2 linked regions of the Drosophila melanogaster genome follow. The protein of the gene in region 1 interacts with the protein of each later gene in a pairwise test. Each region holds a gene or a part of one and is shown on either strand. Other genes may lie near its edges.

Region 1 (4,909 bases):
ATAATTACTTTAGCTTAACTTTTTGCCACTTTAGTTCCCAGTTTCTATATTGTCATCGCTAGTTGGCCGTTTTAGTTGCTCGCTTCGCTTTATTCCGATAAACAATTTCATAATTCGTATATATAGTTTTAATTTCAGCATTTTTAACGTTTAGTCTTTTTGCGATTTTTGCCATAATGACTTTGGACATTACGCGCAACTGATACGCAGCCAAGCGAATCTGTTGGACATTTGAACATTTGAGCGTGGTCTGGGCCCGTGGACATGGACATGGAGAACCGACTCAGAATGAGAATGGTTCTGGTTGGCCTAATTCCGGGGGTGGAGCGGGGACACGGGCTTCTGGACGGCGACATGGCGAATTTGAATTCGAAAGCACTTGACAGTTGTATGCACTCTCTTTCAGGAATTTCCACTTGTCACCCGGTGTCCAATTTCCAATGGAGGAATCGCTGCGATTTGCATTCTGTGATTAAACCGGTTCAGACGCACTGACTCCGGCGGATTTGCTTCATTGTTAGTCGCAAATTGATTAAATTTCCTGTTTTGAGAAATTCTTAGTGCAATTTACTTTACCTTACATACTTACTAAAAAATATTTATATTTGATTTACACCTGTTTTGCCCGTCATTTTGTACAAGCATGGGTAATACCCCTGATTATCTAATTTAATTGCATTAACATTTAACATACCAAACACTTAAACCAAATACACATTAAATTAAAAATTAATTTATTAAAATTATTTCATGGTGAATTGCAAAACTAACACTTATTCGATTTCACTTCAAAATCAATTAATATTTATTTGACAAGTCGGGAACTGACTATTCATATGTATTTTTCAAAGAGATTTGAAGGTTAGGTTTATATATATCTATTTTGACCTTAACAGAATCTGTAACTTCATCCGGGGATCGTTAGATGTGTCAACTCATTCTCGTGTTTATATCATTCTTGGGTTCCGATCCATTAGCGCAATCCAGGTACAAAGTACGAGCGTTATAGCCCTCTTTACACGGCCGACTGGGTCTCAAAAGTGGCACTAATTCGTGGATTCAGTGTTTCGGGAAGGGTTTCCTATATAGTTTTGGCATTTCATTGGATATAAGTACAGTTGTGCGATGGGCCAGGGCTGCAATTAGTACTTCCCGAAAATACAGGCTAATTAAAACCAGCTTTGCTTTCTGCTGCGTGTCACGCACACTCAACTGGGAAACAAAAGAACAGTTAGAAGAAGCATGGGTGTATTACCAAAAATCCCATTGTTATTCAAACATTACGCGAACTCTTATGGCCTACAAATCGAAGCATGTTGGGTGTAAGTAGATCAAAAGATATGAGGAATCCAAGGTAAATTAAAAGGTATCTATAGGAACAATAATCAGCGACTTTCTACGAATACAAACATTCCATTAAAGAATATTCTTCATTTGGCTTTATTTCAATCTTAGAATTATTATTTGAATTCAAACATTACGTTCAGCAAATACTAAATAAAGTTTCACTTAATTTCACCTTTTAACTGGAAGAATGGAATGAAGAAAGGAACATTTTGTTCCTCAGATCACGTCCCTTGTGTGCGCCCATGCTCCGAGCTGGCAACATGTTGCCGGTGCGATGGCCGGGAGCAACTTGTTGCCGCCCACACGCAACAACAACGAAGTTGGAAGTTGGCGATCGACGTCGACGATCGTTTTTTTTTTCTTCAACGTCGGCATCGGCGGCAAACTGGCAGCGGAATTAAATAATTTTCCGTAAGCGCGTTTAGTCAAGCTCAGTTCAATTGCGGCCAGCTTTGTTGGCGGACGTTTCAGGCAGCACTCTATACACTGTAACCAAAGGCCAAGTAGTAACGAAAACTGAAGCAAACTACCGAAACATTCTTATTTTTTAACTGTGCGAACTGTGCGAGCGGGAGGCAACACCCAAAGACAACACTCGAAGTGAAGAGTAAAACTCGAAAAGAAAATATACATATAAAAAGACGTGTGCAGTAAACAGTTGCAGTGACCGAAAAACCTTAAAATCAAAAAAAAATAATAATAACAAAGAAACACTAACGAAGAAGAACCAGCAGCAGCAGCAGCAGCAGCAGCAACTTGTTTAGCGGGGTTAGTAATTTTAGTTTTCTCAGCTGTTTTTACCAGCTTCCTAAATAGGTACGTAGTTATATTTATTTGGGTACTTGCTAAATCAAAGCAGCAACAGCTGTTTTCAATCGCGGTCACTTTCAATTTCGGTGCACTGAAAACAATGGCCCACCACTATTTTAAAAATTGAAAAGAAAAAATCGATAATTATGTTATTATTGATTATGTTTATTAGTAAATTGAAATGGAAGTGCAATGTCGAAATATTTAACTAAGTACATTCAACTTTTTGTATGTATGAGCAATAGCTTTTTGGATGAATAAGTATGACAAGGACCAAGTCGCTTCTCTCAGTGTTGGTTCGAGTTTCTGGTCGGTATCTGACGTTTCTGGTTTTTGAGGTTTCTCTGCACGTTTTTCGGCGCTGTTGTTTTGAGTGCGTCTCAAAAAGGGCTGGACAAAACAAGAAGTGCGGAGCAAAACAAAAGCGCTGGACAAATTATCCATTCGAAAAACAGTATTTAACACAACCACAAAAGCTGTAGATTTATGTATGTAGTTAAAGCCAAATTGGCAGCACAAAAGGAGGTGGCGAGAGCAACAACAGCAACAAGCGATGAAAGCGAAAACGCATAGGAAAAGGCAAACAAAAGGAGGCGTAAATACCCTAAATTATAAGAAGTTGTTTGTAGATCCTACGCAAATAAGTTCACCACTTGCAGTAAAAATTCAAAACATTTCAATTGGAAACATTTATATTAAAAAAACATTTATTAATTGCTCGTTGCAATTCATTTTGGTAGCTTAGGAATTATATTTGTTCCACCTTTCCTATTGAAAAACAGCCAAATTTGAGCTCTATTAAAATCTCAACCATTTCAACTTAAGGCGGTGCGCTTTGCTAATCCATGAGATCTGTAATGTGCATAGCCAAGTAATTATCACGGAGTGTTGTACGGACATTTTCCCTGGAGGGTATCCGTCATGGTTTTTTCCGGCTATCGCATCTAAAGTTTAAAAGTTACAAAACTTCAACGTGAGAGATTTTTAACAATTCGCCATATGAACCACGAGGGGGCGAAGAACTAACTGCAGGTGTGTAAGCATCTCAGATGCACTTGGATATATGTACATATGTACATACATATATTGGTAGTATCTTTGGAAATGTGATGAATGATAATTTCAAAAAAACTCTGGTATTTTCAAAGGATACCTCTTGTTCTATATGGTATAGTATAGTACAATCTTATTCTTATTGAAAAGTCTCTTGCCGATGTATGTAGTCTTATATAATTTTTGACTTGCGAGGTAAACAGTTAAGGGTCTGAAGCATTCTTACTGTCAAGAGAGAGAGCAGAAATGCATTATTTATTTGTGATAAATATAATTGACCAAGCATTCCTCTTGCTACCCATTACTCGTGGAGTAAATGGGTATATAAGGTTCGTTGAAAAGTATGTAACAGGCAGAAGGAAGCGTTTCCGACCTTATACGGTATATATGTACATATGTATGTATGTATATGCCTGATCTGTCTGTCGATCTCAGGATCTATTGAAGCTAGAGTGTTGAGAATTCCAGTGTCACGCCCACTCGACCGCCCGCTTAATACCGCTCCAAACTGCAACGCCCACACTTTTAAAAAATGTTATTTCTATTAACTTTTTTCCCCGCAATTTCTACCGATATTCCACTTTCAATCTTTCACTTTACGAGCTGAGTAACGGGTATCTGATAGTGGGGGAATTCGACTACAGAATTCTCTCTTGTTTTAGCTGGGTATGCGGAAAAGAGGAACAGATTTGAAATGCCATTCAAATTAGGGATATTTTCGAGCAGGATAGTAGGAGGAGTAGTGAGTTGGCCCATAGCTTAGTTGGCATTCTGGATTCGTCTTCCGTTTCCTGAGCGTCTCGCGATTATCGACGGCATTAACATAAAATCTTTTAGCATTCCGCCACCAGAGGCACTGAGTGTTATTATCAGACTGGTTATTTATCAAGACTTAATTGCATTGCAAGTTTTTGCACATGTAAGCAGCGACCTTGCTGGCTGCTGATCGGGCTAAAAGCAAAAATCAAAAAGCAACAACTTATAAATAAATAAATAAAAAGTGAGCAGCGTTTCCTATGGCCAGCCGAATGGGTTTTATAAATAAAATACGAGCATGCGGCAGAATCTACATCTGATTGGGCATATAATTATAGCCAAGTCTGCTCCGGTTCTTGCCGACTCATGCTGATCGGTTGGTCGATCGGTCGACTGGATGTGATTCAAGTTGAAGTTGGCTCAAAAATCGAAAATCAATATTCAGAAGTATAAACAGGAAAACGTGTGCGTTTTTGAACGCTTCAGTGCTGGCGATCGCGTTTTTGTAAGTCGGAGAGCAACTAATGCGGTTTCTAATACAAAGTTAAGCTATTAAATCGGAAATACGGTTAACTTATATTTTGTAACAGTAAGACATTCGTATTCCCAAGCGGAAGTTAAAAGTACATCCAGTCTTACACTGCACGCTTAATTAGAATTTAACAATATATAGAATCTCTTATAAATCACCATAGTCAAAAGTTAAAGTTAAAAACCCATTGTGGTTTTATACAATCGAATAGTTGATTGATTCCTGAAAAAGAATACCAATTAATATTGAATTAATGTACTAATGAGCTGGAATGCAGTTAAAGAGCACAGAAAAGGGTAAATCAAATCAAATTGGCATAAATATTGTACAATGAACGCAAGGAAAACTGAAAATAAGTGAAAAAAGAAATAAAAAAGCGGTAAATGCATTTATGAGATGGATTGCAGTTAA
Region 2 (6,628 bases), on another chromosome or scaffold:
AAATGTTACTTGAAATATAGGAAAAAAAATTGTCTGTTTTGGCTTGGGCAGCGATGAAGTGTGACCATATGCCGCATAAACAATCGATAGATCGTGTATTCTAGGGAAGGAACTATCGAACAAAGAGCTTAATAATTACATTTTTTTCGTTTCATATAATTTAAAAATTAAAAACATTTTATTTAGTTTAAAATTTGATTTATTTACATGACACTTAAATTCATTAACAAATGCATTCAATAACAATCTATTTGTGTTAATCAGTACTACATGCATGTGCAAAAGTCATACAAAATATGCTTTGTAAATTGGCAATCACAAGTTTCCTTCTTAACTTGCATTCTGGCTTATAAATTACGAAAAGTACACGGACCCGACCGATGCAGATATTTCAGTGTTGCTCCATTTTTAAATGTTAACCTTTTTTGAAACCTAACTACTGTAGTCGGTGCCGTTGAGCGAGTTTTTGAAATGCTGGACGACATAATCGTGATAATAGGCCATTATGCACAGAGGCTGACCAAGAATAATGGAAGCCCACACGATTATATTGCCCATTCGGGGACCCAGTTTCTTTTCAATGGATTTGGATATGGCCGATAGGGGAATCTGACCCATCATGCCCATAAATGCCCAGATCTTGTATATTTGCAAAGGAACTGAAACCTGAAAATATAAATTATATTATTGTACAAAATTTGAAATTCTAAATATCAACCCTCATACCAAATATTCATGGAAGACGGCACTGAAAAGAAAGACAATAGTAGAGGCCTGTCTTGAGGAATATCCCATTTGGACCACAGGGATGTAGAGATGACGCACGCACCACCTATGAACTGGCATGTTCCATGTACGCCAGAAGGTGTCAATGTTATTCGCATTCCACCAATCACAATAAAAATTGCGATCTGCAAAATTCAGCAGTTCGCCGACCGCATTAAGAAAAGAGTGGAACATTAGATAGAAAAAGCAGAGCCAGCAAAGATGATTGGGTAGCTAATTAAAGAAAAATTATTAAATAATACTCAAACGTTTTATAATTTTCACTCTACCAACCGCAAGTTTAAGAAGTCGCTCAGTGGCTAAGGCCACGTCCATATTGGAGAACGGAATCAGGGAGTTCCGAACCGATGGAATGATCCATTGTTGAAACAAGGCCATAACCACATTCACTCCAATCACCACCTCCAATAAACGCTTCAGCAAAAAGCGTTTGCGCACGCGAGAAGTTCGCGGGAAATTCAACTCATAGCAGAGAGTGGGCGCGCAAAGGAAGTACAGGAGATCCTTGTATGTGAGATTATCAGGATATTGCACCAGCTTGGAAACGTCCTCGTCTTCTTCACCTCCATTCAAAACTCCTTTTTCTGGATGAAAGATGAATTTTTAATATATGACATTCCGTTGAGAGATCTCAACATACTTAGTTCCGCCAAAGTTATGCTTGGTCGACGCTCCCGCGGATTCTTTTGATAATAAGTCTGACGGCACCACATATTCGTCTGCACATAGGACCATAGTTTTAGGAACAACACAGAGTAAAAGAAGCAAACTGTTGAAGCGCCCACTAAAGATTAACAGATAATTAAATATTTTAAAATACACCTAAACTAAGTTAATTTCTCACTCAAACTAAAAGCATGTCCTTTTAGGTGAATTGTTACCACCGGTAGGCAAACCAAGACAACAATGTTCACTATCTGGATGAACAAGCCCAAGCCCTCTGCAATTATTTCCTGGAAAAGAATTACAAATTTGTTTTAATTTTTAATTCATTCAGTTGGTTTTTGAAAAAAAAAAACAGGAATTGATATCATATCAAATGATACTAAATTAGTAAAGTTCAATATGCGATATTTCTGATATGAACATTTAAAATCTAAAACCATCGAATCCTAGTAACAGTAACTATAAACAATCGATATCGAAAACTCGCCCTGAGTTCCATCCCCAGATCGGCGAGCATTGTGTGCGAAAACGAATTGCGATTTCATTTCATGTTGCAAGAGTGTGGAGGAACAAGCCACGAGTGATATAAATTAAAGCAAATAGGACCATCGAAAAGAAAATATACTCAAAATGGAAGTGACAGAGGCAAATTTACAGCTGCTGGCCGGTTATTTGCAGCAGACGCTGAGCGCCGATCCCAATGTCCGCCGGCCGGGTGAGTGTGTGTGTGTAGGAATGCATGTGCACACACACAACTGCACATGCGTGCAGGGGTGCTGATGTGTATGTGCGCGGGAAATGGTTTTTGGCGACGCCAAAGAAAAATACGGTTTTTAAATCCATTTGAAGTTGTCTACAAGTTTTCCCTATGTCAAAGAATTTATACAGTCACGCTTTCTATTAATTGAATCGAGATTAGCTGATCTTGATATGACTGTTGCCAAGCCACCTTTCAAAACCATAGACCTAGTTTTAGGATTATTTAAGGCATACCAAGCCTATAGACTCCGCACCACCATAACCAAGCTTTTGAAAATATTGTATAAAAAACTTATTGCTTGAATTGAAAATATGTTTAGTCTAACGAGAAACACTGTAAGCTCCTATCGGTTCCTTATATATTTGTATTTGCAACATCCGATTTACATAAGTACAATAGTTCTAACAAACACACCATTTCCTTCTCTACTTTTATAGCCGAAAAACTTTTGGAGTCCACGGAACTACAGCAGAATTACCCGATCCTACTGCTCAATCTGATAGACAAAGCCCAAATGGACATGACTACGCGGGTGGCGGGAGCCATTGCCTTTAAGAACTATATTAAGCGGAATTGGGCAGCCCACCTTGACAGCGACGGACCGGATCGCATCCACGAAAGTGACAGGAATACAATTAAGACCTTGATCGTTACGCTAATGCTCCACTCACCGGTGGCATTGCAAAAACAACTAAGCGACGCGGTCAGCATCATAGGCAAATATGATTTTCCCAAAAAATGGCCGCAGCTTATCGACGAGATGGTGGAGAGATTTGCCTCTGGTGATTTCAATGTCATCAACGGCGTTTTGCAAACCGCACACTCGCTTTTCAAGCGCTATCGTTATGAGTTCAAGTCGCAGGCTTTGTGGGAGGAGATCAAATTTGTACTGGATCGTATGGCTAAACCTCTGACAGACCTGCTCCAGGCCACAATGCAGTTGACTAAGGTGCACGAGAACAATGCCGGCGCCCTGAAGGTCATCTACGGTTCATTGGTCCTTGTGAACAAGGTGTTTTTCTCGCTCAACTCCCAAGATTTGCCGGAGTTCTTTGAGGACAATATCAATACGTGGATGGGAGCGTTTATTCAGCAACTAGCTGCGGATGTGCCATCCCTGCGTACTGCAGATGATGAGGATGCGGGTGTTCTAGAGCATCTGCGTGCTCAAGTCTGCGAGAACATTTGCCTTTATGCAAAAAAGTACGACGAGGAGTTCAAGCCATTTATGGAGCAATTTGTGACTGCAGTTTGGGAGTTACTGGTCAAGACAAGTTTGCACACCAAGTACGATTCGGTAAGTAACAGAAACCATACGCTTTCTTAATAATTATTTTTATAATTTTTCCATTCTTATTTTGCGCACAGTTGGTCTCCCATGCTCTGCAGTTCCTCTCTGTGGTGGCTGACCGCCAGCATTATCAGAGCATTTTCGAGAACCCAGAGATTCTTGCTCAGATCTGCGATAAAGTTGTCATTCCCAATCTAGACATCCGGCCCTCAGATGAAGAAATTTTCGAGGACAGTCCGGAGGAGTACATTCGAAGGGATATTGAAGGCTCTGACATTGACACACGACGTCGGGCGGCATGTGATCTGGTGAAGACTCTATCAATCAACTTTGAACAAAAGATCTTTGGCATTTTTGGCCAGTATCTAGAGAGATTGTTGACCAAGTACAAGGAGAATCCGGCTACCAATTGGAGGTCAAAGGATACGGCAATTTATTTGGTTACTTCGTGGGCATCTCGAGGAGGAACTCAAAAGCATGGCATCACACAGACCTCGGAGTTGGTTCCACTTCCCGAATTTTGTGCCCAGCAAATTATTCCAGAACTGGAAAGACCCAACAGTAAGCCCAAATAACCATTTTCCCAATTCGATCATCTTATATCTGCATTCTTCCAATGCTCTTTGCAGTTAACGAGTTTCCTGTTCTTAAGGCTGCTGCAATTAAGTATGTAATGGTGTTCCGCAGCATTTTGGGTCCCCAAGTCTTAGCAAGCTGCCTGCCCCAGCTAATTCGACATCTCCCCGCCGAAAGCTCTGTTGTTCATAGCTATGCTGCTTGTTCAGTGGAGAAGATCCTTTCTATGCGGGATGCTAGCAACGCGATCGTTTTTGGTCCTCAGATTTTAGCACCTTACACAACTGAACTAATTAGTGGGTTATTTGCGACCCTTTCACTCCCAGGTTCCGGTGAAAATGAGTACGTAATGAAAGGTGAGTTTGGGGGACTATCTCATACGTTTCTAATATGTTAACAAAACTCTAATTATTATTATTAGCCATTATGCGAAGTTTTTCGGTCTTGCAATCGGCCGCCATGCCCTTTATGGGCGTCGCCCTTCCACGGCTTACCGAGATTCTCACCCAAGTGGCCAAGAATCCATCGCGTCCGCAGTTCAACCACTATCTTTTTGAAACGCTGGCTCTGTGTATAAAGTAAGTGTTATGCATTTTGGTGGTAAAGAGCAATAACAAATTTTCTTTTTCCCTAGAATTGTTTGTCACGCCGATTCCTCGGCTGTGAGCTCCTTTGAGGAGGCATTGTTCCCAGTTTTCCAGGGCATCTTACAGCAGGACATTGTCGAATTTATGCCCTACGTCTTCCAGATGCTTTCTGTGCTGTTGGAAATGCGCGAGGGCACTGGTACCATACCGGAACCCTATTGGGCTTTGTTCCCCTGCTTGTTGTCACCAGCTCTGTGGGACAGGACGGGCAATGTCACACCATTAATTCGCCTGATTTCTGCTTTCATCAAGCAGGGATCTGCTCAGATTCAAGCCTTGGGTAAACTGGTAAGTTATATTATACATCACAAATTTTATTTTACAGAGTCCAATCTTATGCATTTTTCAACATATATTTCAGAGCGGTATCCTCGGAATATTCCAAAAGATGATTGCCTCCAAGGCTAATGACCATGAAGGGTTTTATCTTCTCCAGAATCTGCTTTCCTACTACCCTCCCGCTGAGATTCAAACTAATCTTCGTCAGATCTTTGGCCTGCTCTTCCAGCGATTGTCTCTCTCAAAGACTCCGAAGTATTTAAGCGGCATCATTATCTTCTTTAGCTTTTATGTGATTAAGTTCAGTGGCAGTCAGATGGCTCAATTGATAGATGAGATTCAGCCTAACCTATTTGGCATGCTGCTGGACCGCGTGTTTATCACCGAAATGGGCAAGATTCCCAAGGAACAGGATCGCAAAATGGTGGCCGTGGGTGTCACTAAGCTACTTACAGAAACTCCTGAGATATTGCAGCAACAGTACGCTACTTTCTGGCCACGACTGCTGCATTCTCTAATCGATCTTTTTGAACGACCACCAGAGAAATTGATGGGTCTCGAAATAGGAGAGACAGCTGGAGTTGCCGAAGATCCCGATGCGGGCTATCAAGTGGCATTTGCCCAACTGACTCATGCCCAGCCCAACCAGCAGGATCACCTGGCTGAGATTAAGGATGCTCGCCAGTTTCTAGCAACTTCGCTCTCTAAGTTTGCCCAGGCTAGGGCAGGAGAATTTTCCACTTTGTTGTCGCCCCTGGAGCCGGAGTACAAGCAAGTACTCCAGAAATATTGTGATCAGGCTGGAGTACGCATTGCCTAAAGGAATCGACCGACTTTAAGCTCATTCATCGCAATCAAACCTCGCCATACATTCGAAAATTTATGCATACACGCACTCGATCACTCATTGCATGCCCAGTTTATTGTCATTTAAAAATTGTATCTAATATATGTAAGTTTTGTAAACAATTAAAAATTATGTTTTCCGAAACTAGTGTGTTTCAACTGCGATAACTTCTGAATATTTCATACTTTTCTCTCTGATAAACAAATCATTTCTTGTCAAACACCCTTCACTCAATTTCAAAATTGTGAATTTAGAATTAACTAGATATTTCGAAATTTATCATATAAGCCATGTTCAAGCTAATAACGTATTTCAAGTCACGATCGAAGAAAATAGGCGTGAGATGCTATCAAAGTAAGTACTTACCATGGCTAGACCCTTCTCCACAGCCAAACAGAGCGAGATATGCACTAAAGAGTCTGTAAAATATGGTGAGACGAAGGTTATCAATTTCGTTTGCGTAATCCTTGATTTTGTGCGTGCTTACAAATGCTCAGGATTAGGGCGTTATGTCCTTCGCCTTCGTTGTGTCCGCTTATGAAGAAGAACCAATCCAGTGGATTGATGCGAATGCCATACCTAAAAAAATAATGAATTAGCTAAAACTTGTATTTCTACTCAAGATCATCGTAGTTACTTTAGGAGATTCTCCAAGCCCAAACGCAGACCTCCAATGCAGAGCAGTAGAAATCCCCAGTTCACCAGTCCAGAAAAATTGGTAAATCCAGAGCTCCAAGAAAACAGAGAATCTCTTGGCCGATGGATTCTAAAAGAGG

The links.
Region 2: the proteins of ldd (region 1) and Cse1 interact in a two-hybrid assay, tested with the Drosophila melanogaster proteins (one large-scale study listed by BioGRID).

What each region holds. Positions count from the first base shown.
Region 1 is NC_004354.4:21,122,005-21,126,913, forward strand, and holds the start of ldd (lipid droplet defective), read left to right. Parts: upstream 1-1,629; 5' UTR 1,630-2,115; intron 2,116-4,909.
Region 2 is NT_033779.5:16,820,521-16,827,148, reverse strand, and holds Cse1 (chromosome segregation 1), read left to right. Parts: upstream 1-1,941; 5' UTR 1,942-2,082; coding exon 2,083-2,167; intron 2,168-2,649; coding exon 2,650-3,509; intron 3,510-3,580; coding exon 3,581-4,064; intron 4,065-4,132; coding exon 4,133-4,435; intron 4,436-4,500; coding exon 4,501-4,657; intron 4,658-4,713; coding exon 4,714-5,014; intron 5,015-5,087; coding exon 5,088-5,825; 3' UTR 5,826-5,993; downstream 5,994-6,628. Other genes in the region: mdy (midway), read right to left, coding at 433-666, 727-999, 1,060-1,370, 1,427-1,570, 1,631-1,739, 6,219-6,271, 6,340-6,431, 6,490-6,618; CG13280 (uncharacterized protein), read left to right, coding at 6,143-6,206. UniProt on the Drosophila melanogaster protein: Export receptor for importin alpha. Mediates importin-alpha re-export from the nucleus to the cytoplasm after import substrates have been released into the nucleoplasm.